4 linked regions of the Medicago truncatula genome follow. The main gene of each other region encodes a partner of the protein of the gene in region 4 in a complex. Links are inferred from orthologs where the notes say so. Each region holds a gene or a part of one and is shown on either strand. Other genes may lie near its edges.

Region 1 (6,224 bases), on a different chromosome or scaffold from region 4:
ACAAGATAGGGTAATCTAGAAAAAAAAACCTTAATTAAATGGTTAAGTCATTCAAGAATAGGAATCTCCCTGAGCCATGGTATGTTGAATGACATAAAGTTGAGTTAATGGGCGGACATTTTTAATTTCTATGAATGTTCGGTTTTTCTTCCCTCGCTAGGCACACAAAACATCGCTTAGCGAATTGAAGCAAAAAATTAACTTTCGAAAAAAAAAATTAGATTCGCTAGGCAAACATGTCCTTGCATACCGAAGTCAAGCTCCATTTTAGAGTCAGAATCCCTCTCTATTAGGTTTGGTTTTAGAATTTCAGAACCCTTACAAATAGAGGTGCAGGTTATCATTTGAAGTCAAGCTTGCCTAGCAAATCAAGGTTTCTTCAAAGGAGGGAAAAGCCAACAGTCTTTAGATATTTTCTTGAACCGCCTTAGTTCACTTAGCGGATCCAATTTTGCCTAGCAAATCATATTTGGCTTTTCCTTTTGGAACTCATTGTTTTGGCTCGCTTTCACCATGTCAAGCTCGCCTAGAGATCGTGTTTTTCACCATATGTCTTTGGGATGCTCTGACTTGGCTTCTGGCGCGTGTGATTGCCTTCTTTTACTCTGTATTGGTGTAGTCATGCTCAAAACCTATAAAAATGTATGGGAAATAGAAGTAATATCTTTGTGGCACAATTTACGAATATAAATGATATTTATATCAAATTTGGGGGTTTTATACTGAATTACTTACAAAACAAGTTGATAAGTGTTATAGAAAATAACAGTAATTTGACACTTATCAAGTGACCTGATGCATGTTGGTGAAATGTACAACGATAATCTAGAGGGGTGAATAGATTACCCAACAAAAACATGGTTTTGAGATTTTCTTTGAAAAACGAAATTGAGTTTGAATATTGGAAATTGACAATCGTTTCAATCATATAAAGTATGTGTTTGGAATACCGGTGGAAAGCTCAAAAAAGCACTTTTAGGCAAAATCTGGAATTTTCAGCTTCATAAAATCACTGTAAAAGTGACATTATGTAGCGTGCACCGTGAAAAAAAATGTGATGCCAAACACTGCTAAAGTATGCAATGACAAATAACAATTCAAATTTTTTTTTTTAATATAAATAACAATTCAAATTTGAACAAGTAATTCACACTTGAATTATATCTATTCAAACAATCACTAATACACAATCAAGATATAAAAGACAATCCAATCTTAAATCAAACCTAATTGGATGAGAACAAAAACTAACACAGGAGACAATAGTATTTGATATATGATGATTAGATTGAAGTGTTCATATCAACAATTCAAAATGATTGAAGTCTCAATTTAGGTTAACAAAATTTGTTCACAAAGGAATTTCAAATTATTCACTCACTTATCAAGTATCAATTTACCTAATCAATAATTATCATATATCAAATAATAGTTTGCGAGAATTAAAAGAGAAGGGAGAAGAAGACATTGATTTACAGACATCTCCTCTATGGGTTTCTACGGCCTTCAATTTCCGAATCCAAGTGATCCTAAATTTTTAAGTTCCCTTGAGCTTTGACTAGTTCTAACATTGCACAACCTTTATGGACCCAAGTAGACTTAATAAAATATTTGACTAACTTGCATTCAGTTGTATTTCTATCTAACAAGTTATTTATTTTTAGGTGTAAATAATAACTAAGAACAATTATAGTATTTTCTAGTACAACTAGGTTATTTTTTTGATAAAAGTTTCACTTTACTCACTTTAGTGGATTGAAATCCTATCCAAAAACTTCTAAAAAAAATTAGATTTTTTTATGAAAAAGAAAAGTAATTCATTTAACTAAAAAAAGAGTACAAAAGACTGGGGGCAAAAACCCGACCCAGTATAACCACACAAAAGTAGGGCTGAGCAATAGACAGTTTCGGTCAAATTCAGGCCCCAAAGTGTCGATAAGAGATCAGAAACAAAACCATTTTTGATCGAATGAGACAACAGGTAATTCGGGTGACGGGTAAGATGGGTGACGGGTATCTTGGGAAGTTTGTTTCAGTTGAGACCATAGAAAATCCTCATTTTCCTTTTCTCAAGTTTCAAACAGCCACACCGGTTGTTAGTAGGTGGTTCACCGACATCATCATGTCGACGCCACTCGAAGAGGATTAAGATTGCATCGGTAGTTTTTCTTCTGTGTGGACAATATATCGTAGCACATGTGCAAAGCCATTGTAAGCATTCGTCACATGGTGGAGGATGTTCGCGACGACCTTGAGTGTAAGAGAGCAAGTAAATTTTGTTGAAATAAGAAATCTTCAAAATAAAGGGTTTACACAAAACCAAACTTGAATGGAAAATTGAAATTCTTTTAGAATTGAAAATGTAATACAGTTTGTTTAACTTTAAAGATAAAAGAAAAGTGGAACAAAATATTGTTTGCGTGTTGAAAGTTTAAAAGAAAAATTAATGTTTGTGTCAAATTATAGTTTCAAGGCAAGACAAGTAATAATCGAAGTCTTGAAAAGTTGAAATCCATAATTGTGTACTCGATTTGCTTTTAAACCCGACTGTTTCCCCCATAAAGCTGACGTTTGGATGGGTTTTAGGCAGGACAAGGGTTTATGCACACCCCCACACAAAAGTGATCGAATCATCCCTGACAAACAAATATACAACACAAAGATGGTATCGAACCTATCCTAAAGGGTAATGAATAGAAAATACGATCTTGAATGGGATAAGAACAATCACCATAACTGATGGTTCAACATAATCCAAACCCGAAGCATCATACACTTGTTGCATAACCCAACATACCTGCAACACAAGTGCAAAACCAAATTGCAAAGAAAAAAAAATTAAATAAACCTGTGACGAATTTTGACAAAGCATCAACAACTTCAAGCCCAAAACACATGACACACATTGTACTCGAATTAAGAAAACAATAACTCAAACGCAGCACATGTGAGCATTAACTCACATAGACATCAATCCGCGCAACATTGGTCAAGGAAAACCAACATGGCGATCACTAAAACAAATGACAATGAACAACAAGCCCATATATGAATTAACATTAGATCCAACGCAAAATTAATTCGTATTGAACAAAGAATCCAGGAACTTAGAAACACAAGAACCAAAGGCGGCTAAAAAGTTGAGCGAACTAGCAACAAACAAAGCCATCGAGATTCGTAGATACGGATGAGAACCCAACTTCATATCGAAGGCACCATTTTAGATTAGGAACCAATCATTAAAGCGCGATAAAGAAAGAACCCAACATATGTCGTGACGGTGGAGGGCGATTGCACCACCAGTCAAAGGATCTACATTTCAACAAAAAAGTTTTGGATTGTAAGGAAAAAGTGAAAAAGACTAAGTGTGCTGCGGTAAAGAGTTTGAAGAAGAAAAAGAAGAGAAATCTTCTCTCTTTGTAGAATTTTCCCAAATATGTTTCAAGCTCAAAAGAAAAGTAATATTAAAATATCTCAATTAAACAAATTAATTTTTGGTTAAAAAATTAATATTTCTTTTAAAAAAATATATATTTTGAAGAGAAAAAAAAAAGTTTTAATTGCACTTTCGGTCTCTTATCTTTTCAAAAGTTGTGATTTTAGCCCCCTAACTAATAAAAATACAAAATAGTCCCCTATGTATTGGATCTTTGGTAGTTTTGGCCCCTAAGATCACTTTTGACTTAGTCTTCGCTGACGTGGCATCCACATCCCTTAAGTGAGGTGCCACGTGTCGACCATTGTGGATGTCACGTCAGCGAAGACTAAGTCAAAAGTGGTCTTGGGGGCCAAAACTGCCAAAAATTCAATACATAGGGGGCTGTTTTGTATTTTTATTAGTTAGGGGGCTAAAATCGCAAGTTTTGGAAATATAAGAGGGCAAAAGTGCAATTAAGAAAAAAAAAGACAAGTATTTGAAATTTCATGAAAAATGGACAATATTTAAAATTGACCATTGATGTAATTTACTAATTAGATGTTCATTCTAAACCATTGGATCTAAAAAATCGCAGCACATATATTCCTCAATCAAACCAACCTTATCAAAGTGCCTTCGTTATCTATCCTCTCAGTTATGGCCATGGCATCATCACTGCTTCTAGCATCACCTTCTCCACTCTCTCTTCAACTCCACGCTTCCTCTTCTCACCTTTCCTTCTCTCAATCCCAATCTCTTCACTCACCACTCATCACTTCATCATTCCCTACCCTCTCTTCAACCTTGTCTCTTTCACCAACCCCTTCTGGTAACTTTTTTCTCCAAAAAAAATGGAAATTTTGTTGTGAATTTGGCTTATTGTATTTGAATTTTGATGACCCAGTTATTGATTTTGGTTCTTTTTTGTTTTCTTGTAGTGTATTGTGGCAGAGGTGATAGGAAAACTGCCAAGGGCAAACGGTTCAGCCATTCGTTTGGAAATGTAATGTTCTTTTTTCCCAATTCCCCCACTTATTTCAATTATTGAGTGTATGTTTGGTTCCAACATGAATTAGTTTTGTTAGAATTGATTTTAGTTAAAAGTGACTTTATCATAAATTTATCATGTTTTACACATACATTGCTGTAAAAGTGATTTATTTTTTTTAAGAATCAAGTGTAGTATCTTATCTTATTTTGAATTAACAAGTGATTCTTAATTCATAGTATTATTTTGGATAGTTTGACTGATTGAATTAAGTGTAGTGTCGTATCAGTTTAATATTTGATATGTGAGCCAATGACGCATGATGTTAAATTTATTTCTTGTTGACGCATGATGTTAAATTTATCATGTTTTACACATACATTGCTGTAAAAGTGATTTTTTTTTTTTAAGAATCAAGTGTAGTATCTTATCTTATTTTGACTTAACAAGTGATTCTTAATTCATAGTATTATTTTGGATAGTTTGACTGATTGAATTAAGTGTAGTGTCGTATCAGTTTAATATTTGATATGTGAGCCAATGAAGCATGATGTTAAATTTATTTCTTGATGGGGAGATTCCACCGATACTTGCCTCTCGCGCGTTGCTTTGAGTGGCACTATACCATTTCTTTGACGCACCCCAACTAAGAAAAGAAATTGTTTGAATCAAAATTGTTTTTGGATGTGATTCATATTAACATTAAAGTAATTCTTCCCTTTTTGTTTTGCTAAATTATTAGTGTTGAATGTGTTTTCAGTCTTTATAATTTATATTTTTTGTTTTTAGTCATTGAACCGATTTTTTTGTCCTAAAAAAGGGACTAAAAACATACATTTTAGTAATTTGTAGGATTGAAAGGTTAATACTGATCCTAAAAACAAAATTCGAAATTATTAAAGCACTGAAAACATATTCAATCTTTATTATTTGTCGTGGATATTTGTTGAAATTGTAGTGGATGTTGTGGTGAATACTTCCAAGGTTATTTTGAAAAATATGTTATTTGATGTTATCAGGCAAGGCCGAGGAACAAGAACAAGGGTACAGGACCACCAAGGATTTATGCTCCACCAGATGCTACCAAGAAAGAGAAGCTTGAAGATAAGGAAGTGATTGAGATTGAAATTAATGAATCCCTTTTTCCTAGTTAGTTGATTTTAGTGTTGCACTGTAATTTTGAGAGTTTCATGATTTATAGTTTTTGACATATGGATTCCATTTGGCATATACTATTTGGATTTTGCTTGTTATCCTTATTTGAGTTCACTTTGCAACCTTATTTTAGTCTCTATTATGTAAGCTCTTGCTATATCGTATTGAGGGTGGGATTGGAAACACTCTTATAGTCGAGGTTTAAAATCCTGGTCACAGTTTGCGAAAAAGTTGTAGGCAAATACTGCCAATTCGGTCATAATTTTTGTCGCGATGTGGTTGGGAAGACATCAAAAACCTCGATGTCGTGGATTTTTCTCCTTAGGATCTGTGCTGTTGTAGATGTCTAACAACCAAACAAAAGTTTCCTATGGGAAAAAATGGTTAGGAACGTTGGTAGAGTGATAGAATCCAAAAATGTTGGAAAGGTCATGTTTGTTGAATTAAACCTTTGCTTCTGCAACGTGTATGCTGTTGTTACACAGTCACTCTTATGCGCTCAATTTCGGGCATATGTTGCATGGTTTTTCATTATTTGCATTATACTTTTATGGTGTTGTTTGATTCATGTTGTCAACCCAAGACTTTGGTTGTTACTGTCTTCTTAGAATACTTTTAGACATGTTAGAGTTAAACAACTTAGAAGAGAGATGAAGATACCGA
Region 2 (6,066 bases), on a different chromosome or scaffold from region 4:
AAAACGCATAACATTGAAGTGATTTCCTAAGGCTTTTGACTCAATTACTCACGCCACATCAAATCAAATAAACTTGTTATTTCCTTGTAGATAAATAATATTCCCTCCATCTCAAAATAATTGAGTTATTTGAGAAGAAAAAAATTGTTCCAAATACACTCTAATTAATAATAAGCAATTCAACATATTATATTTTATATTTATGATAATGATGAATGCATTAGCACTTAATAAAGATATTCAACCATTTTTTCTTTTCTCTTTTTCACCACTACATTTTCTCTTAATATATGTGAAATAAACAAAAGACTTCGTTATTTTGAGACAGAAAGAGTATAATGTAAACAAAAAAAAAATCTTTCCACTCGCTAATTTCTGGTCATATTTTTACTCTTTATCTTTTGTATATAAAGATTATGATTATTATGTATGTATGTATAAATTATAATTTTAATAATTGATAAAGTTAAAATTTCGCACCCCCTAACTCGGGTCTTGGATACGCCACTGACCATTAGGCACTCACACATAAAAATACATTTTATTTAATTATTTAAAAAATAAATATGATCTAATTATTTTCTCTCTATCTTTTCTCAATTATGTATGTGTGCCTAAATTTAGTATGCCTAGACAAGTATTTTCCATGGATCTATGAGATTTAACAAAAGTCTTCAAACATGAGAATAACTTAAAAGGTTTTTGGGATGAAGTGGGTAATAGGGTCCGATCAATTTTACCAATATAGAATAGAAATCGTGAGAACAATGGACTATGTTGCGACATAAATTATTTTGTCCCAAATAAATGATTTTGCGACATAAAATATTTTTGACCCAAAATTCCATCCTAATTTTAAGTTTTTCTTCAAGTGGGTATATTTTGTGGGACAAGAGATTCAACTGTCATTCCAATCTGTAGTGTATTAAGTGCATCTCATGGGATGGGTTGGACTAGCTATCGTTGGATGATTAACTAGTATATACATATTGTGTCATCTCATTTCTCTTACTCTCTTTTATTCAAAAACTTACTAAGCAGTGCTTCTTTGTGATTTAACTTCACCTTTTTATCTAAGCATTGCACATGGAGTTAAATGATTTGAATAAGAACTAACGTGGTTGTTAAAATTAATTTGAAAAACGACTATGGTTTAACTAAACACATGTCTTTGCGAAAAGATTTTAAAATGATTAACATAATTCAAATCCCCTTTTGTCGTGTTTTTCCAACATATTCAAGTGGTATCAGTGCCCATTGTTGGAAAATATAAGTAAAATGGTTTGACTTGTTTTGTGTTTCAGATTCAATATCCACTTCTTTTTAAATTTTGAAAATTGAAGCTCCTGTTCAACAATTTACTTTTTATTTTAAAACCATGGATTGACAAAAAAAAAATCATGAAAATCTTGTCTTTTAAAAACAATTCCCACTTAGTTTTTTTATGGATTTTGTTAACGAGTGTCTTGGGGAGATCCCAAATTTTAAAAATATTCTTTAAAAAAAATCAAATGTTACAAATTCTAATGCATTAATTATATAGATTTTTATAAAAACTTATTATTAAAGGTGTTTAAAAAGTATTCCGATGACACTCGTTAACATTTTTTTTTTAGATAAATGATATTTGTACATCCATTTTATGACAACTTTTGTACAACCTTCTCTCATAATCACATTATCTTCTTATTCTCTCTCTTCCCTTTTTTTTTTTTTCTCTCTCTCTCTATTGTTTTTGACCAATAAAAAGAGAGAAAAGGTAGGTTGTCACAAAAGTTGTCACTAAAAGGTTGTTCAAATATCATTACTCTTTTTTTTATATACTCTCGGAGAAGAATAAAAATGAAAAAAACCTCAACCTATGTTTTGCGAATAGAATGAGAAGTTCTCATTCAAATTTGAATCTTACAATACTAACTTATGATGTATAGAGAAGTGAATCTTACAATACTAACTTATGATGTATAAAGAAGTACGTCAACATATGATTTTGTTAACAGAGATAGAAAGTCAGTTCAATTTCAATGATCTATGGTGATCACATTTGAAGGTGGGTAAAGAACACAAGAGAGGGGAGATTGAATCGTGTTGCCGATTTTTTTTCTTTTTAATTTAACCATTTCTATTAAGTCGACTTGTTTACTAAAAGTTGAACACAATAATTCTTTTATCTATTAAAATACTTTATTTTAAAACTAAAGAGACAATGTGAAGTTAAACTATAAAGAACTCGACATATGCATTGAGAGAGAGGATACACCAAATTCATCCTTGTTCACTGTCAATCTGATAGCTAGTCCACCTTATCCATAGTGATTTTGTCATCTCAACAAGAGAGACTTCTTTAACTATAATCTCCTCAAGAGTTATCCACCCCAATATTTCACGAAGCATCAATCTTGTCAAAATCCATCACCCCTATCATTTACCATGTTACCAACCATGATAACCACATCATTTATCCGGTTTTCCAACCACGTTGATCATATCACTTACCCGGTTGCATAACCATATGAGTTACCAACAATGGTTATGACTTAGTTAAGTCTATCCGTCATCTCACACCAAGTGAGGTCTGGTCTTTAAGGTCTGTGCAGTATAGTAAAATGGGTGCAAAGTAAAGTGGGGTTTGAGTTCGTATATGACTAATACAAAATCATTCTAGGATGATAACTATCTAAGAGAGGATATTACATAAAAATCATGTCTCAATTCAAGAGTACTTCTATCTTCTTGATTGATTTACAAATGATCTAGACAATTCTCACTCGAGAGGACGTTTCACAAAGTTCCTAAATCATGTTATTGGCTTTAACTAGATTTATTTTTTAAATAATAATATAAGCTTTTTTCTTTTAGGTGGGGTGTTTTGAACACTAATTGTTGATCTTCACATAAAATGATATGGTGATTGAAACATAAGTGATGATAGCAACAACAACAACTCTCTCGACGCGAGTAGGTTTTGTTTATATAAGTTCTAGAATCCTATTGTTGGAGAATACAACAAGGGTGAAGTTTAATATGGAAAAGGGAAGTTCTTTCCTATCATGGGAAAGTTTAACCACAACCATTGATTTAATAGTTTTTTATTTGGGTGGCTTAGATCTATGACTTGGTAATTGTTGTAACTTTTTGATGGTTACATGGTGGACCAAAAAAAACGACCCACCATTGATGAAATAACAATTTATCATTTGTTTTATTGATTTATTGTTTTTTTTAATTAATTTTTTTCACCATTCTTCCTCTTCTTCCACCCTCCTCTTTTCTACCTTCATCATCATCTTCATACATTAATCAACATCAAACTCAGAAAGAGAAGGAAAAAAAAAAACAGTAAGAAATTAAAACTCAAAAAATAACAATCAAAATCATAGATCTACTCTTCATCATTCTTCACCATCATCACTAAATATCCTATATCCACTCTTCATCATCAAGATCCATGGTTCCTCAATGATAACAACAACAACCTAAAATCATCATCTTCATTTTCATTTTTATTCATTCATTTTTTAAGAATTTGTATTTCCAGATTTTGAAATTCAATAAAAGTATCATCCCCTTATTACCGTAACTTAACCCTTTTTTTTATTTTTAAACAAACGTATCATTAACAAACACTCACTGCACAAGCTATGCATAATAGGAGAGAAGAAACATTACAAGTGCCAATAACAGTCCCTAATTATAGCAATATCAAATGGGAGAAGAAACCTAAGAACAGTAGCACGAGACCCTAAAGTCATGGTACCGCAAAAACCAAATAACAACAACAACACCAAGCCTCTACTGTCCCGGAATTATAAGGAAACATGATGAATGTTGAATGAAATGAGTTTAAACATTATTATTGAGTGAGGTAATTTGTGTTATGAAATTCATCTGTGTTATACATTAGCAAATGTACCAGAAAAAACAAAAAAGGATTAAAAAACTAATTTAATTTTCATTTTTTTTTATATTTTTGAACAGGTTTGAGACAGCCACCTGTACTGGGAAATGAACCTTTCCCATGGTGGGAAAGAAGTATCCATTCCCAGGTTAAATGCCACCTACAACAAAATATACAACCGTTGTGAGGATACATATGATAAAGTACAAGTATCTCTTGTATATCTTTGTATACAAAGTGACTAATCTGTCTCATCGAAGAGATTTGAGAGAATCACTTCTTTATACTTTTAGGATTTTACCTAGATAATTATCTTGATATTTGAACGTATCAATCATCCATACATCATTATAGATTCGATTTGTTATCTTTTGTACTTTGTTTCTTCATATTTTTAAGGCTAAAATATGGTTTTAGTTCCTGCAAATATGCTTCGTTTTGGTTTTAGTCCCTGGTAAAAAAAAAATTTGTTTTTGGTCCCTGCAAAATTTTTTGTTTTTGAAAATAGTCCCTGACCCCACTTTTGTGATGATTTGCATACGTGGCATATTATCACTGAACCAATTTTGTAGTTTTTGGTCTCTGCAAAATATTTTGTTTTTAAAAAAGGTCCTTGCAAGGGACTATTTTCAAAAACAAAACATTTTGCAGGGACCAAAAACAAATTTTTTTTTTACCAAGGACTAAAACCAAAACGAGGCATATTTGCAGGGACTAAAACCATATTTTAGCCTATTTTTAATGAATCAGTTATATGATTTATTAAATCAACTTCTTATTTTAATAGTTATTGAAGGGTAAAATTGGCCAATAAAAGTTTAATACAAGTAAGGCATAAAATAAAAGAAATAAAGAGAATGAATCACTATAAAAGATTTAGTTTTATCTTCTTCTTATCTCTTCACAACACAACACAACACAACACAACAATGTGGCTTCTGCAACTTCCCAGCACGCTCTCAACACCATTCCTCAACGGCAACAATGGCGTCGCCCTCACCCGTCTCTCAAAGCCCACATCCACACTCTCTCTATCCCAACCCCAATCCCTTCCATCAATCAAAGCTATGAAAACAATGGAAGGAAAAGTTGTGTGCGCTACCAACGACAAAACAGTGTCGGTGGAAGTTACTCGTTTAGCACCTCATCCCAAATACAAGAAACGTATTAGGATGAAGAAGAAGTATCAGGCTCATGATCCTGAAAACGTTTTCAAAGTTGGTGATGTTGTTCAGCTTTGTAAAATTAGACCTATTAGTAAGAATAAGACTTTTCTTGCTGTTCCTGTTCCTGCTAGGAATTCTGGTAAGGCTAATAATTCTTCCGGTGACCTCGACATTCCGCTTCAATCGGAGCAAGAAGAACAGCCTCAGACTCAGGCTTAGTTTTGCAGTCTCTCTCACTCTTTAATTTGTTGTGTTTTTATTTTTTGTACTAATATGATGAAATTGGAATTGAGAAATTGATGTTGTTATTGTTGTTGCTGTTAATTTGTTATTGTTATTATGAAAAATTATTATTTGATTAATGTTGCTTTGTGGGTGTTTGTTGAAATGTTGGATGTGGTTTATGATAAACCCTCAATTGTGAAATTGCTATGGTTGTGTAATTATGTTGAGAATTTTATTGTTTAGTGTAATGGATATGTGTTTGATGAAGGGCTCGTTTGGGTTGATTTATTTTTGAGCATATGCAAGCAAAACAGTTTATACAAATAAATAAACTTTTATGTATTATTCATAAACTTGTTTAGGTAGCTTATGAAAAAACAACTTATGAAGATACAATTTTAATAAAGCTTATTTGCATAAACTATTTTTCATAAGCTAAAAAATAAGTCAATCCAAATGGGCTTAATAGATTTTTAATAGTATGAAGCGCGACACACAAACACGGACACCAGACGCAACACTGACACATTGACACAATTCAATGTAATCACATGTGTTGGGGTTGTGTCGGACACATCATACGCCTGCGATCATAAGTGCCGGCGGGAGCAGGAGTATCCTCCTCCAAAGAGGAGTGCTCTTGAATTGTCCATTCTACATCACATGTCAGGATATAGATACTCTGATTGCAGAGAGCCCGAATTCTTAGCTGTAGGTTGGGTGTTGATCGTGTGTTTGGGTGAGTGTTTAACAAATGTGATTTTGAATTATCTTAGA
Region 3 (4,847 bases), on a different chromosome or scaffold from region 4:
GAGAATTTTCACCTACTCTAAACTTCCGGGGGTATGCGAAAAATGATAATAGATCGAATCGTTAACATTAATTTTAAGGTAAATTTAGTATACTAATAGTCATTAATAAATAAATATTAATTAATAAACTCATTTCATTTTTTCGTGAAAATATAACCTTAGGAGAAAGAAGAACCAATACATAGAAGTATAAGCCTTTGGTCAAAAAATATTTGTGTCTATTCACAAGACAAAGCGCGAATCGTAATTCATAATATTTCTATTTTTAAAGGGTTATTATAATAGAAATTATGCTTTATGGAGTTGAGCATATTATTCTATTTTTTTTTTTTGAATTGCTTTATTCTGCAGGAGAAAATGCTAGTCACAATATATAGTTCAACGAACTAAGTCAATGAGTCATAAAGATATATAATATTTTTTATATAAAAAAAGTAAAAAAAAAGATATAGATAAAAAAGTAGACAAATAAGACGTATTATTTTATATAGAGTAGTGAGGAATTATGGGACAAAAAATACATCCGCTTGGTTTCAGACTTGGTACAACTCAAAATCATGATTCTATTTGGTTTGCACAACCAAGAAATTATTCCGAGAATCTAAAAGAAGATAAAATAATACGAGATTGTATCAAGAATTATATACAAAAAACCCCCGGTGTCGAGGGAATTGGACGAATAAAGATTAAAAAAACAATCGATCAGATTCAAGTCATAATCTATATGGTACTTCCAACGTTATTAACGGAGGGTAAGCCTCGAAGAATCGAAGAATTACAGACTAATGTACAAAAAAAACTTAATTGTGTGACGCGAAAAATTAACATTACAAGTACAAGAATTCCAAATGCTTATAGCGACCCTAATATTCTTGCAGAATTTATAGCTGGACAATTAAAGAATAGAATTTCGTTTAGGAAAGCAATCAAAAAAGCTATTGAATTAGCTGAACAGGCAGGTACAAAAGGAGTTCAAGTACAAATTGCGGGACGTATCGACGGAAAAGAAATTGCACGTGTCGAATGGATTAGAGAAGGTAGGGTTCCTCTACAAACCATTCGAGCTAAAATTGATTATTGTTCCTATCCAGTTCGAACTATTTATGGGGTATTAGGAATCAAAGTTTGGATATTTCTAAACAACGACTAATTTACTTTTCCTTATTTTTAGCGTTCCATCTTTTGATAAAAGAAAAAATGACGAATTCTTATTCCCAAAAAAGAAATGACAAATTTTATAAGATTGAATAAAAAAATTGATTAATCATTTTATAGTAAAGGAGTTGCTATGCTTAGTGTGTGACTCGTTGGTTTTTTTTAGAGTGGTTAAATTTCTACAAGAATTCGTAGAATTAATTACTAAAGAATTAATAACCTACTCATCGCTTACCATTATCTGGATATAAAGAACCGCGGAAAATAGAAAATCAAAATAAAGATCTATGTGGTGATATAATTATAGCAACTGAAATAAAAAAGAATCTGATTATTAGTTGTAAAGCAATAAGAATATACAGATAAATGAAGGGGTGAAAGAAAGATAGAAAAAAAGATATCAATGATATAGAATTCGACTATGTAAAGGTCTATGGGTCATTTCGTAAAAGGTAGTGTAATAAAGCATCAATATTCTAAATTCATCCATATATGGATGAATATATTCGTAGAATAGACAAATCAAGAGCTGCGAATCAATAAAACTGAGAAGGTTGATTCAACAAAAAAGAATAAAATAAATAAGAAAATTTTATGAAAATAAAATCTTATTAATATTAAAGAGGCTCCATTGTAGAATTTAGACCTAACCATAAATAGAAAAGCGATGGGAACGATGGAACCTGTGAATACCTAAGATTATATTAAATTTCATAATCTTACTGATTCATTAGATGGGATGGCGGACGGAACTAAGAATTCATTATTTTTTGAGGAGTTGTGGACTAACCCAACATTACATCTTAAATTTATAATGAAAGAGTAAATATTCGCCCGCGAAAATGTGGATTTTTTTGAATTTAGAAATTTTTGCCAATATGATAATAAAAAAAAAAAAAGACAAATATGGATTCGTTAGAACCTTATATCAAAACAACATTATCTAGTTAGATATGGATAGCAAAAATGGTCTATAAGAATCCATATTTGGTTCTATATCAAAGCAAGATATACAAATTTCTAATATGTCAAAAAATCCCGCGATTGTATTCTATTTTAAATTTAATATTGTAATTTAAAATTAAATTTTTTTTGGTTAAATATTTTTGAATCGATTTATTCGCGAGGAGCCGTATGAGGTGAAAATCTCATGTACGGTTCTGTAATAGAGATGGAATTGAGAAATAACCATCAACTATAACCCCAAAAGAACCAGATTCCGTAAACAACATCGAGGAAGAATGAAAGGAAAAGCCTATCGAGGTAATACAATTTCCTTCGGAAAATATGCTCTTCAGGCACTTGAGCCCGCTTGGATCACATCTAGACAAATAGAAGCAGGGCGACGGGCAATGTCACGAAATGTTCGCCGAGGTGGGAAAATATGGGTACGCATATTTCCAGACAAACCTGTTACAGTAAGACCTACCGAAACGCGTATGGGTTCGGGAAAAGGATCTCCCGAATATTGGGTAGCTGTCGTTAAACCCGGCAAAATACTTTATGAAATGGGAGGGGTCCCAGAAAATATAGCTAGAAAGGCTATTTCAATAGCGGCATCCAAAATGCCTATACGAACTCAATTCATTCTTTCAGAATAATCATTAGAACGAAATAGGTCTTTAGTATGAAAAAAATGGTAATTGTTGGTTTCTTTTTTTTTTTTTTTGAACACAGAATATTTTTTTTACTTCAACTTTTTGACTGAAAGATAGAAAAAAATGATATGATTCAACCTCAAACCTATTTAAATGTAGCCGATAATAGCGGAGCCCGCGAATTGATGTGTATTCGAATCATAGGAGCTAGTAATCGACGGTATGCTTATATTGGTGACATTGTTGTTGCTGTAATCAAAAAAGCAGTACCAAATTCATCTTTAGAAAGATCTGAAGTGATCAGGGCTGTAATTGTACGTACTTGTAAAGAACTAAAACGTAGTAATGGTATAATAATAAAGTATGATGATAATGCGGCGGTTCTCATTGATAAAGAAGGAAATCCAAAAGGAACTCGAATTTTTTCCGCAATAGCCCGAGAATTGAGACAGTTAAATTTCACTAAAATAGTTTCATTAGCACCCGAGGTATTATAATACGAGATCGTGATATAGATATATTATTTAGGACTGGAATGAATAGGAAGGAAATCTATTTGAATATATATTTGAATAGAAGTGAAATAGAGTCCTAAATATATTAGATCTCACATATATACCTTATATACTTGTGTAATCATTATTCTATAATTATGAATATTTATATTAAGATTATTACATAAATATGAAAAGTATACATATCGATAAGTTATTAGAAATAGTAAGTCATTATATTAATTAATAAATATTTTTAAAACGAAATAATAATAATAGATGAAAAAAAAAAAAGAAAAAGGAATGAAATCTATATATATATTGAATATATATATAGATATAGATAGATTCAAAATACAAATTCGAATTCAGAATTCTATTTGTATTTTTTTTTTATACTTTATACAAAATACAAATAGAATTCTGAATTCGATATAATATTATCTATCTAGTTTATAATTTATAATAGGTCATTCATTCATTTTCTTTCTATCTTTTTTTAGTTTTAGAATATTCTATATTATAGATTTACATTATACTGATTAGACTAATTAGAATTTTCTATCTATATATAGTATTATTATATTCTCATATTCAATATATGATATTTTATTGAATCAAAAAAAAAAAAAAAAACAAAAAACAGGAGCACGTTTATTATATCGAAAGTAAGGAGCAATAATCTATCGTGGGTAAAGATACTATCGCTGATATGCTAACTTTGATACGCAATGCTGACATGAATCGAAAAAGAACGGTTCAAATACCACTTACTAATATCACCGAAAACATTGTGAAAATACTTTTACGAGAGGGTTTTGTTGAAAACGTTAGAAAACATGGAGAAAGCAACAAATACTTTTTAGTTTTAACTCTACGGTATAGAAGAAATAGGAAAGAATCGTATAAAACTTTTTTAAATTTAAAAAGGATCAGTACACCTGGTCTACGAATCTATTCTAACTATCAACAAATTCCGAGAGTTTTAGGAGGAATGGGGATTGTAATTCTTTCTACTTCTAGGGGTATAATGACAGATCGAGAGGCTCGATTAGAAAGAATCGGCGGCGAAGTTTTATGTTATATATGGTAATGGTAAATTTGCCGATATCCGATTTCTATGAAAAAATTATATACATTATTGTAAATGGAGTAGAGAAAAAATGGATTTCTACTATGTACTCCTGATACCTTAGTGAATGTGTGAAGAGGATTTAACTAGAATAGAAATAAAAATTCATGAAGATTAAATTACTGAATAACTTCTGAGGGTATGTTCCATGTTAGAGAAATAGAATTTAAATAAAATTCTAGGCTATGTTTACAAAAAAATTGAACGTACTTAATGTATACGACCGGTAAAGGAGAAAAAGGAAGTATAAGTCACTTAATTTAATTTTTTAACTTTAAACATGTTTTTTAGGAGGCACAATTATAAGTTAAAAATGTAAGGAAAACCTATTTTCTTCGAATATATAGATTTGGCATTCCATTTTAGTTAAGGAGTTAATTTAAAAATATGAAAGTAGGAGCCTCTGTTCGTAAAATTTGTGAAAAATGTCGATTGATACGCAGGCGAGGTCGAATTATAGTAATTTGT
Region 4 (7,026 bases):
CAAAAGGATCATTTGGATTGTTCAAAGAAATACATTCAGAGAGAGGAATATATGACATGCTGAGTTTCGACTCATTTGCTTTTAGTAGGAAGTTGAAGTTCACTCATACTCAAGATTCTTATAAACCTGAAGCAAATAAATTTAGAGCTTGACTTCGACATCAACGCCAGCAGGAAGCTGAAGCAGCATGAGAGAATCTATTGTTTGTGCTGTAGGAAAGAGAATATCAATGACACGCTGATGAGTTCTGACCTCGAAATGGAACCGAGCATCCTTGTGTACGTGGGGAGATTTAAGGACACAGTGAATTCGCTTCTTGGTTGGTAAAGGAACAGGACCCATTGTTTTTGCATTGGTGGTTCTCGCTGCATCCAATATCTGCTTGCAGGAATCCTCTATCAAGGGGACCAAGTAAGATCTAAGCTTGATTCTGATTTTGTGCTTTGGTGCCAACTAAAATTGGGAAAAAACAAAATTATCAGGTGATATGATTTTATTAGAGGCCATGGAATATGATAAGTTATAGGTCAAAACAGTAAATTCTACATAAATATCATCAATTAACTCGTCTTCTCCTCCTCACTTTTCAATGGAAATTGGTGGATTGCTATATTTGATTTGTGTAATCTATTGTCAAGAACAATGAAATATTTTCATGTAACATCCTTTTCCCCCTTTTTTATTACCCTCAGGAATCACATAGTGTGATTGCACGAGGCCTGTGTTTCAGGGATTTGGATTTGATGCTGTCAGCACCCACACATTCATGCAGTCAGGGACGTAGGTAACCATTGTATTGAAATCAGACAGTACACTTTAAGCTCAGTCTTTCAGATTTTTTGAAAAATAAAAAAAAAAATGCATTAAAATCTGGACCGTCCAATCTCGATCCAATGCTCACCGATATCCTGGACCTGGACTGTGTGATTGTGTGTGGATTGCTGAATGCACCAAATCCAAATCCATGTTTCAGAAGAATGAATCGGAGTGCTGATAAGGGCAAACCAAATAAGGTGCTTATAGAGTGAGTAAGGACTGTGTGAACCCTCAGAAGAATGAAAACAAAACAATGGAACAGCTAAATAGGGTGTAAATGAAAAGGCCTAAAGGGTAAGTGAAAGAGTTTGGGAAGCTCTTGTTTTAGAATACTGATAACCAAACAGTGAAATAATAAAATAAGGTGCATTAAGTATAACTCCTTCAGTTCCTTTTCATTAACAATGTAAGCTTCTGCTTCAGTTTCTTGGATGAAAAGTGATGGAAAACATAAGCGACCAGAAAAAATAAACAACAAACACTAAATCATGTCATGCATAAAAGTGAACAAAAAATATATCACATTAATTCGGGCATGTGTTGCATGATTCAAAACTACAGCAAAATTATCACATACATGCATCATATGTCATTAATAATACTGAGACCAATGTAACCTTGTTCTGAAACTATGCCATACTTTTGACAAGGGAGCATATGTTTCACTGCTGAGTAACTGGCTAACATCAATAACCTATTACTTGACTTATCAAAAACAATTTACAAATTGAGTGTATATTTTGGATTGGTAGTGAGTTAGGCAAAATCACACTGGCACCGTGATTTTGTTGAAGCTCTAAAGTGTAACTTTTGGCAAAATTGCAATGAGCCACTGTGATTTTGCTAAATTCACCACTAATCCAAAGATGCACTAAAATGTCTCATAATTTCATTGCTATTACATATTAAATGACTGAAAATGGAATTTGAGCACCACATATAAGAAGCCTCCAAAAGCAAACAAATATAAGCCAACTATTGAAAATAGCAAGTCAATCAACGTACCATGTCTGCATTATCCCCAATGCTAATTTCTGACGTGCTCGGAGTCTCTAAGTCATCAACCTAAAAACACCAAGACATAATCATCACAAAGAGACCAACTGAATTGAGTTAAAACATTCAGAAAAATGTAGGCCAATCTAAACCGTAACATTGCTGAAGCCAGTGAAATTCATATTCACTAACCAACACATTAAACTACATATAATTGACATAACATTGCCATAAATAATTTTCACTCCCCCTTTTCACTGTCTCCAAAAACCTTAAATTTTGCAAATTAAACCCCCATTGTTTTTCACATGTTCAACTAATACGTTTTATAAAACTAATTAACCAAGCATTGAGAAAATTCCTAGATACTCATTACCTATTTAACAATAGATTGAAAATGTCAATCAACTAAATTTTCTTCGTGTTCTGAGTAAATGTTTGGTTCCACTTTTACATGAGCTAAAACTGATTCTAAAGGTGTAAAATTGATTTTTACAAGTTTGAAAGTTTTCAATTATAATTGTTGTTACAAGAAAGTTAAATTGATTTTGCCTCCAAAAATAATTATACTAACTAGAACCTAGAATTTTAAGGTTTTACCTCTACAATTGATTTTTAGCCTCAAATTCATCGCATTTATTTGAATCTATCCAAACATAAATCAGATTGCATTCAAATCACTTTTAATTTATGTTTCATTCCACTTTTAAATAAGCCAAAATTGATTCTAGATGAAATTGATTTTGCAAACTAAAAATTGGAGCTTTTAATTCTAGAATTGAATTTTACACTCAAATTTGTTGTTCATAATGCATTCAAGCATATGAATCAAATTATTCATAATCAATTTTCGTTACTACAGAACCAACCAATTAAACAAAATCAATATTCATCACTACAAAACCAAACACAATACAAACATGAAGAAAAGGGTTACCTCAGAATTCAAAACTTCAGGAGCAGCATGAACAACAGTAGACAATTGAAGAGGTTTTGCATTTGTAATCCTCAACGTATTACCAGAAACAAAGCATAGAGATTGAAGCTTTAGCTTTGAAGATAACAATGGTGAAGAATTTGAGGAGAGAGAAAGAGAAGGAATGAATGTTGCTGAGAGAGAAGAAACTGCCATTGAAACAAACTCTCTGAAGCGAAAGAAAGAAAGAAAGATTGTGTTGTGAATAAGAAGATTAAGAATTATCCGTTGTTTTATTTTCCTTTTTCTATTTTATTTTTTTGGTTGTTACTATTTTATTTTGTTTATAGGCTTTGAACCTCAAGGCATTTTGGAAATGCTACCTCCACCCCTCGGTTTAGTACACACACTCCAACAATCTATTTGAAATCAATTTTACGGTGCACAAGTGAGATTAGTGATGGACTTATAAAATTTGTCTAGAAGAAGCAAAACTATATACTAATTATTTGCTTTCACTGAACTATACGTTAACATAGATTATCTGACATTAATATTTGAATAGGTAGAAAAGAAAAACTTATGGAGGCTAGAGTTTCATAAACATAATGAGCAAAGATTGAATGCATAGTCTTACAATTGGAATATATACTAGCTAATATAAAAGTCTAAAATACTCTTACTAATAAATAATAACTATTATCGAACATCTCCCCTCAAACTCACGATGCATTAGTTAGAGCATCAATAGTTTGTCAACTAAAAAAGGAAACATTTTAAGGAGTGCATCTTTGTGAACAAATCAACAATATTCAAAGATGAGGAGGTAAATGATAGAGTGATTGTTCCATGATGAAGATGGTGACGAGTAAGATGACAATCAATCTTAATATGCTTGGTGCGTTCATGGAAGACCGAGTTATGAGCAATTTGAATAACACTATTGTTATCACAATACATTGGAGTTGGTTTAGAAAGAGAGATACCCATATTAGACAAGAGTCAACACATCCAAATAATTTCCTTAGTAGTGGATGACATTTGGCATATCACGATACTCAACTTCTATAGAACAGCGAGAGACAATGTATTATTTCTTACTTTCCCAAGAGATAAGAGAACCTTTAAGAAAGATGCAAAACAATGTAGTGGACTTACAATCTGTAGGATCACTAGCCTAGTCTGCATAATAAGCACATAACTCCAATGAAAGACAATGAGGGAAAGAGAAGACTCTAAAATTGAGATCCTTAGAGATAACGACGAAAACAGAGAACTACTACTCAATAAATTGTAGTGGAAGAGACAACAAATTAATCGACAACATGAATAACATAAGCAATATTAGGTCTAGTAATCGTAAGATACACCAGACTGTCAACCAAAGTACGGTACAAAGTGAGATTTGATAATGGAATACCATCACACTGTGAGTATTTCACATTCAAACATATTATCTCTCTCCTTCTTTTTTTGGGTGTTAACTAAGTATCCTTCGCGCACAACTATAGAGACTAATCTCTCGAACCTTGTGAGACTCAAATGAGCGGCAAACTCACCCTAAAAGTTTAAACTCTGCTACATGCTCAAGACTCTCTCTCTCTCTAATCTTTTAAATTACAATCGTAATTAATTTTTTTTATCTTTTAAATTGCAAATGTTAAACACCTTGATCTCTTAATTTATTTTTATTGTTTTTGGTTTTATTTTGCGTCCTTAATTTGCAATAGTAGACATTTGATCCTTTCATGTCTAATATTTATAAATTAAAGAAACAAAATGTCAATATTTCTAAACTTCTACGACTACAGTTAGAAATACTTTGTATGGTAAAGGAGTAAAAAAAAACATGAGATGAAAACGTTTACCATTTATAACTTAAATAAATAACTAAATGTAACAAGGAGAACAAGAAAACAAACCTATCTAAAAATAGCTCATGAGACTACACCAATCGTGTGAACGTAATTCCAAGGAGAACATCAAAACAAGCCTACCTTAAACCATATATTTAGCACTTCTATTTATTTTATTTTATTTTATTTTTAACTTATAAATAAAAAAAGCATAATGAAAACTAAAGTTCATCTATTTACTATATATATTAAATATTAATCCCTATGATTTTACCATTTTGCTCCAATGAAGGGCATTTTTGTAATTTACTAATTGGTGGGATTTTGTTGGTGCCACCTCATCATTTTTATGGCATATTTCCCATTTTTCCCCATCAATTTTTTTTTTAATTTTTAATAACTTTTAACTATTTTCCAATTTTTATTTTTTTAACTATTTTTCAATTTTTTCACCCAAATTCAGTTGTTTCTACATTGCCGTTGTGAGAGATTAATATATCGTTTGACCCGACTTTTTCCAACTTCTCTACATTTTTAAGGAGAAGTTAGGTCAAACACAGTATCAATTATTTTAATTTCAATATTGTTTAATCATCATAACCTCATTAATATTTTTGTTCACACTGTCATTTAATGATACCAAATATTTTTATTTCCTTTCTTCAACCTCGCAAATATTTACACACACATTAATGTTTAGAGTAATATTTTATGTCCGTCTGTCTGTGTTTTTGTTACGCTGATGCATATAATTTTTTAGTGTTGCTTGGTTGAGTGCTACCTCAATGATGTTTTTTTTAACTATTTTCCAATTTTTTCTCCCAAATTCAGTTGTTTCTACACTGCCATTTGTGGGAGATTAAGATACCGTTTGACCCGGATTTTTTTTTTCCTACTTCTCTACATTTTTCAGGAGAAGTTAGGTCAAACAAAATATCAATTAAGTACTTACTAGAAAGGGAACTTTTTTTAATGCATAAAATTGAATGGAATGAGCTTTGGGCAAAAGTTGTTGAATGCTACTTTAAAAAACTACTTCTGGACAATATATTTCACAAGCACCTCTTTTGAACTCACGCTGGGAACCTTTTCTTTTATTTTTTAATATTATATTTCAATATGTTTTTTTTTCCATTTAACTTTTTTTTTTTTGAACCGTTATATTTAATTTTTTAAGGAGGTTCCATTTAATTTTATTATCTTTTTTCAAAGGAATTGTATTATCATTTTATCACTTATATATTTAATTTCAATATTGTTAATCATTACAACCTCAGTAATATTTTTATTCACGCTGTCATTTAATGATACCAAATATTTTTATTTCCTTTCTTCAACCTCGCGAATATATACACACATATTAACGTTTAAAGTAATATTTTATGTCTGTCTGTCTGTTTTTTGTTACGCTAATACATATAATTTTTTTTAGTATTGCTTGGTTGAGTGCTACCTCACCGATTTTTTTTAACTATTTGTCAATTTTTATATTTTTAAAAAGTTTTGACTATTTTCAAATTTTTTTATTTTTAACTATTTTCTAACTTTTTTTCTCCCAAATTCAGTTGGTTCTACACTGCCGTTGTGGAAGATTAAGATACTGTTTGACCCTGTTTTTTTCAACTTCTCTACGTTTTTAAGGAGAAGTTAGGTCAAATACAATATCAATTAAGAACTTACTAAAAAAAGTAATTTTTTTAATGCATAAAATTGAATGGAATGAGCTTTTGCCAAAAGTTGTTGAATGCTCCTTCAAAAAACTACTTCTCGACAATTTATTTGACAAGCATCTCTCTTCAATTCACGTTGGGAATCTTTTATTTTATTTTCTAATATTATATTTCAATATATTTTTTTCTTCCATTTAATTTTTTTTTAACCGTTCCATTTAATTTTTTTTAAGGAGGTTCTATTTAATTTTATTACCTTTTTTTCAAAGGAATTTTATTATCTTTTTATCACTTATATATTTAATTTAAATATCGTTTAATCATAACAACCTCACAAATATTTTTATTCACGTTATCATTTAATGATACCAAATATTTTTATTTTCTTTCTTCAACCTCGCAAATACACACACACACATATTAGCATTTAGAGTAATATTTTATGTGTGTCTGTTTTTTGTTACGCTAATGCGTATAAATTTTTTGGCAAAATTTTGATTTTAATTAAAAGTAAAATTGTAGATGTATTTTCTTCAAAAAAAGGTACAGATGCCTAAAAAAATTATGCTTATCTTATATATATATTGCACCTTTATATTCTAACAAATTATGCATATCTTTTTCTTATTCAAAAAAACTAAACATTGCTAAATAGAAAATGTATTATTTTCTATTTTGTCAGCATCAGATGATATGATTTTATATAAGTTTAGTAATGACCCGAAATATGTTTTTCCTTATGTAGTGGGAATATAGTTGATGTAACATTATG

Evidence for each region.
Region 1: cyanelle 30S ribosomal protein S10 (region 4) and 30S ribosomal protein S31, chloroplastic share a complex: the UniProt entries of both Arabidopsis thaliana proteins name them as parts of the 30S ribosomal subunit. The link is inferred for Medicago truncatula from reciprocal best matches to the Arabidopsis thaliana genes AT3G13120 and PSRP4.
Region 2: cyanelle 30S ribosomal protein S10 (region 4) and 30S ribosomal protein S17, chloroplastic share a complex: the UniProt entries of both Arabidopsis thaliana proteins name them as parts of the 30S ribosomal subunit. The link is inferred for Medicago truncatula from reciprocal best matches to the Arabidopsis thaliana genes AT3G13120 and RPS17.
Region 3: cyanelle 30S ribosomal protein S10 (region 4) and rps8 share a complex: the UniProt entries of both Arabidopsis thaliana proteins name them as parts of the 30S ribosomal subunit. The link is inferred for Medicago truncatula from reciprocal best matches to the Arabidopsis thaliana genes AT3G13120 and rps8.

What each region holds. Positions count from the first base shown.
Region 1 is NC_053045.1:4,921,348-4,927,571, forward strand, and holds 30S ribosomal protein S31, chloroplastic, read left to right. Parts: upstream 1-4,027; 5' UTR 4,028-4,075; coding exon 4,076-4,247; intron 4,248-4,356; coding exon 4,357-4,421; intron 4,422-5,425; coding exon 5,426-5,560; 3' UTR 5,561-5,688; downstream 5,689-6,224.
Region 2 is NC_053043.1:49,901,287-49,907,352, reverse strand, and holds 30S ribosomal protein S17, chloroplastic, read left to right. Parts: upstream 1-4,788; 5' UTR 4,789-4,827; coding exon 4,828-5,283; 3' UTR 5,284-5,556; downstream 5,557-6,066. UniProt on the Arabidopsis thaliana protein: One of the primary rRNA binding proteins, it binds specifically to the 5'-end of 16S ribosomal RNA. Required for optimal plastid performance in terms of photosynthesis and growth. Required for the translation of plastid mRNAs.
Region 3 is NC_003119.8:41,793-46,639, forward strand, and holds rps8 (ribosomal protein S8), read left to right. Parts: upstream 1-3,935; coding exon 3,936-4,340; downstream 4,341-4,847. Other genes in the region: rps19 (ribosomal protein S19), read left to right, coding at 1-65; rps3 (ribosomal protein S3), read left to right, coding at 506-1,150; rpl16 (ribosomal protein L16), read left to right, coding at 1,289-1,297, 2,346-2,756; rpl14 (ribosomal protein L14), read left to right, coding at 2,882-3,250; rpl36 (ribosomal protein L36), read left to right, coding at 4,767-4,847. UniProt on the Arabidopsis thaliana protein: One of the primary rRNA binding proteins, it binds directly to 16S rRNA central domain where it helps coordinate assembly of the platform of the 30S subunit.
Region 4 is NC_053044.1:26,399,385-26,406,410, forward strand, and holds the start of cyanelle 30S ribosomal protein S10, read right to left. Parts: upstream 3,010-7,026; 5' UTR 2,945-3,009; coding exon 2,750-2,944; intron 1,882-2,749; coding exon 1,822-1,881; intron 454-1,821; coding exon 142-453; 3' UTR 1-141.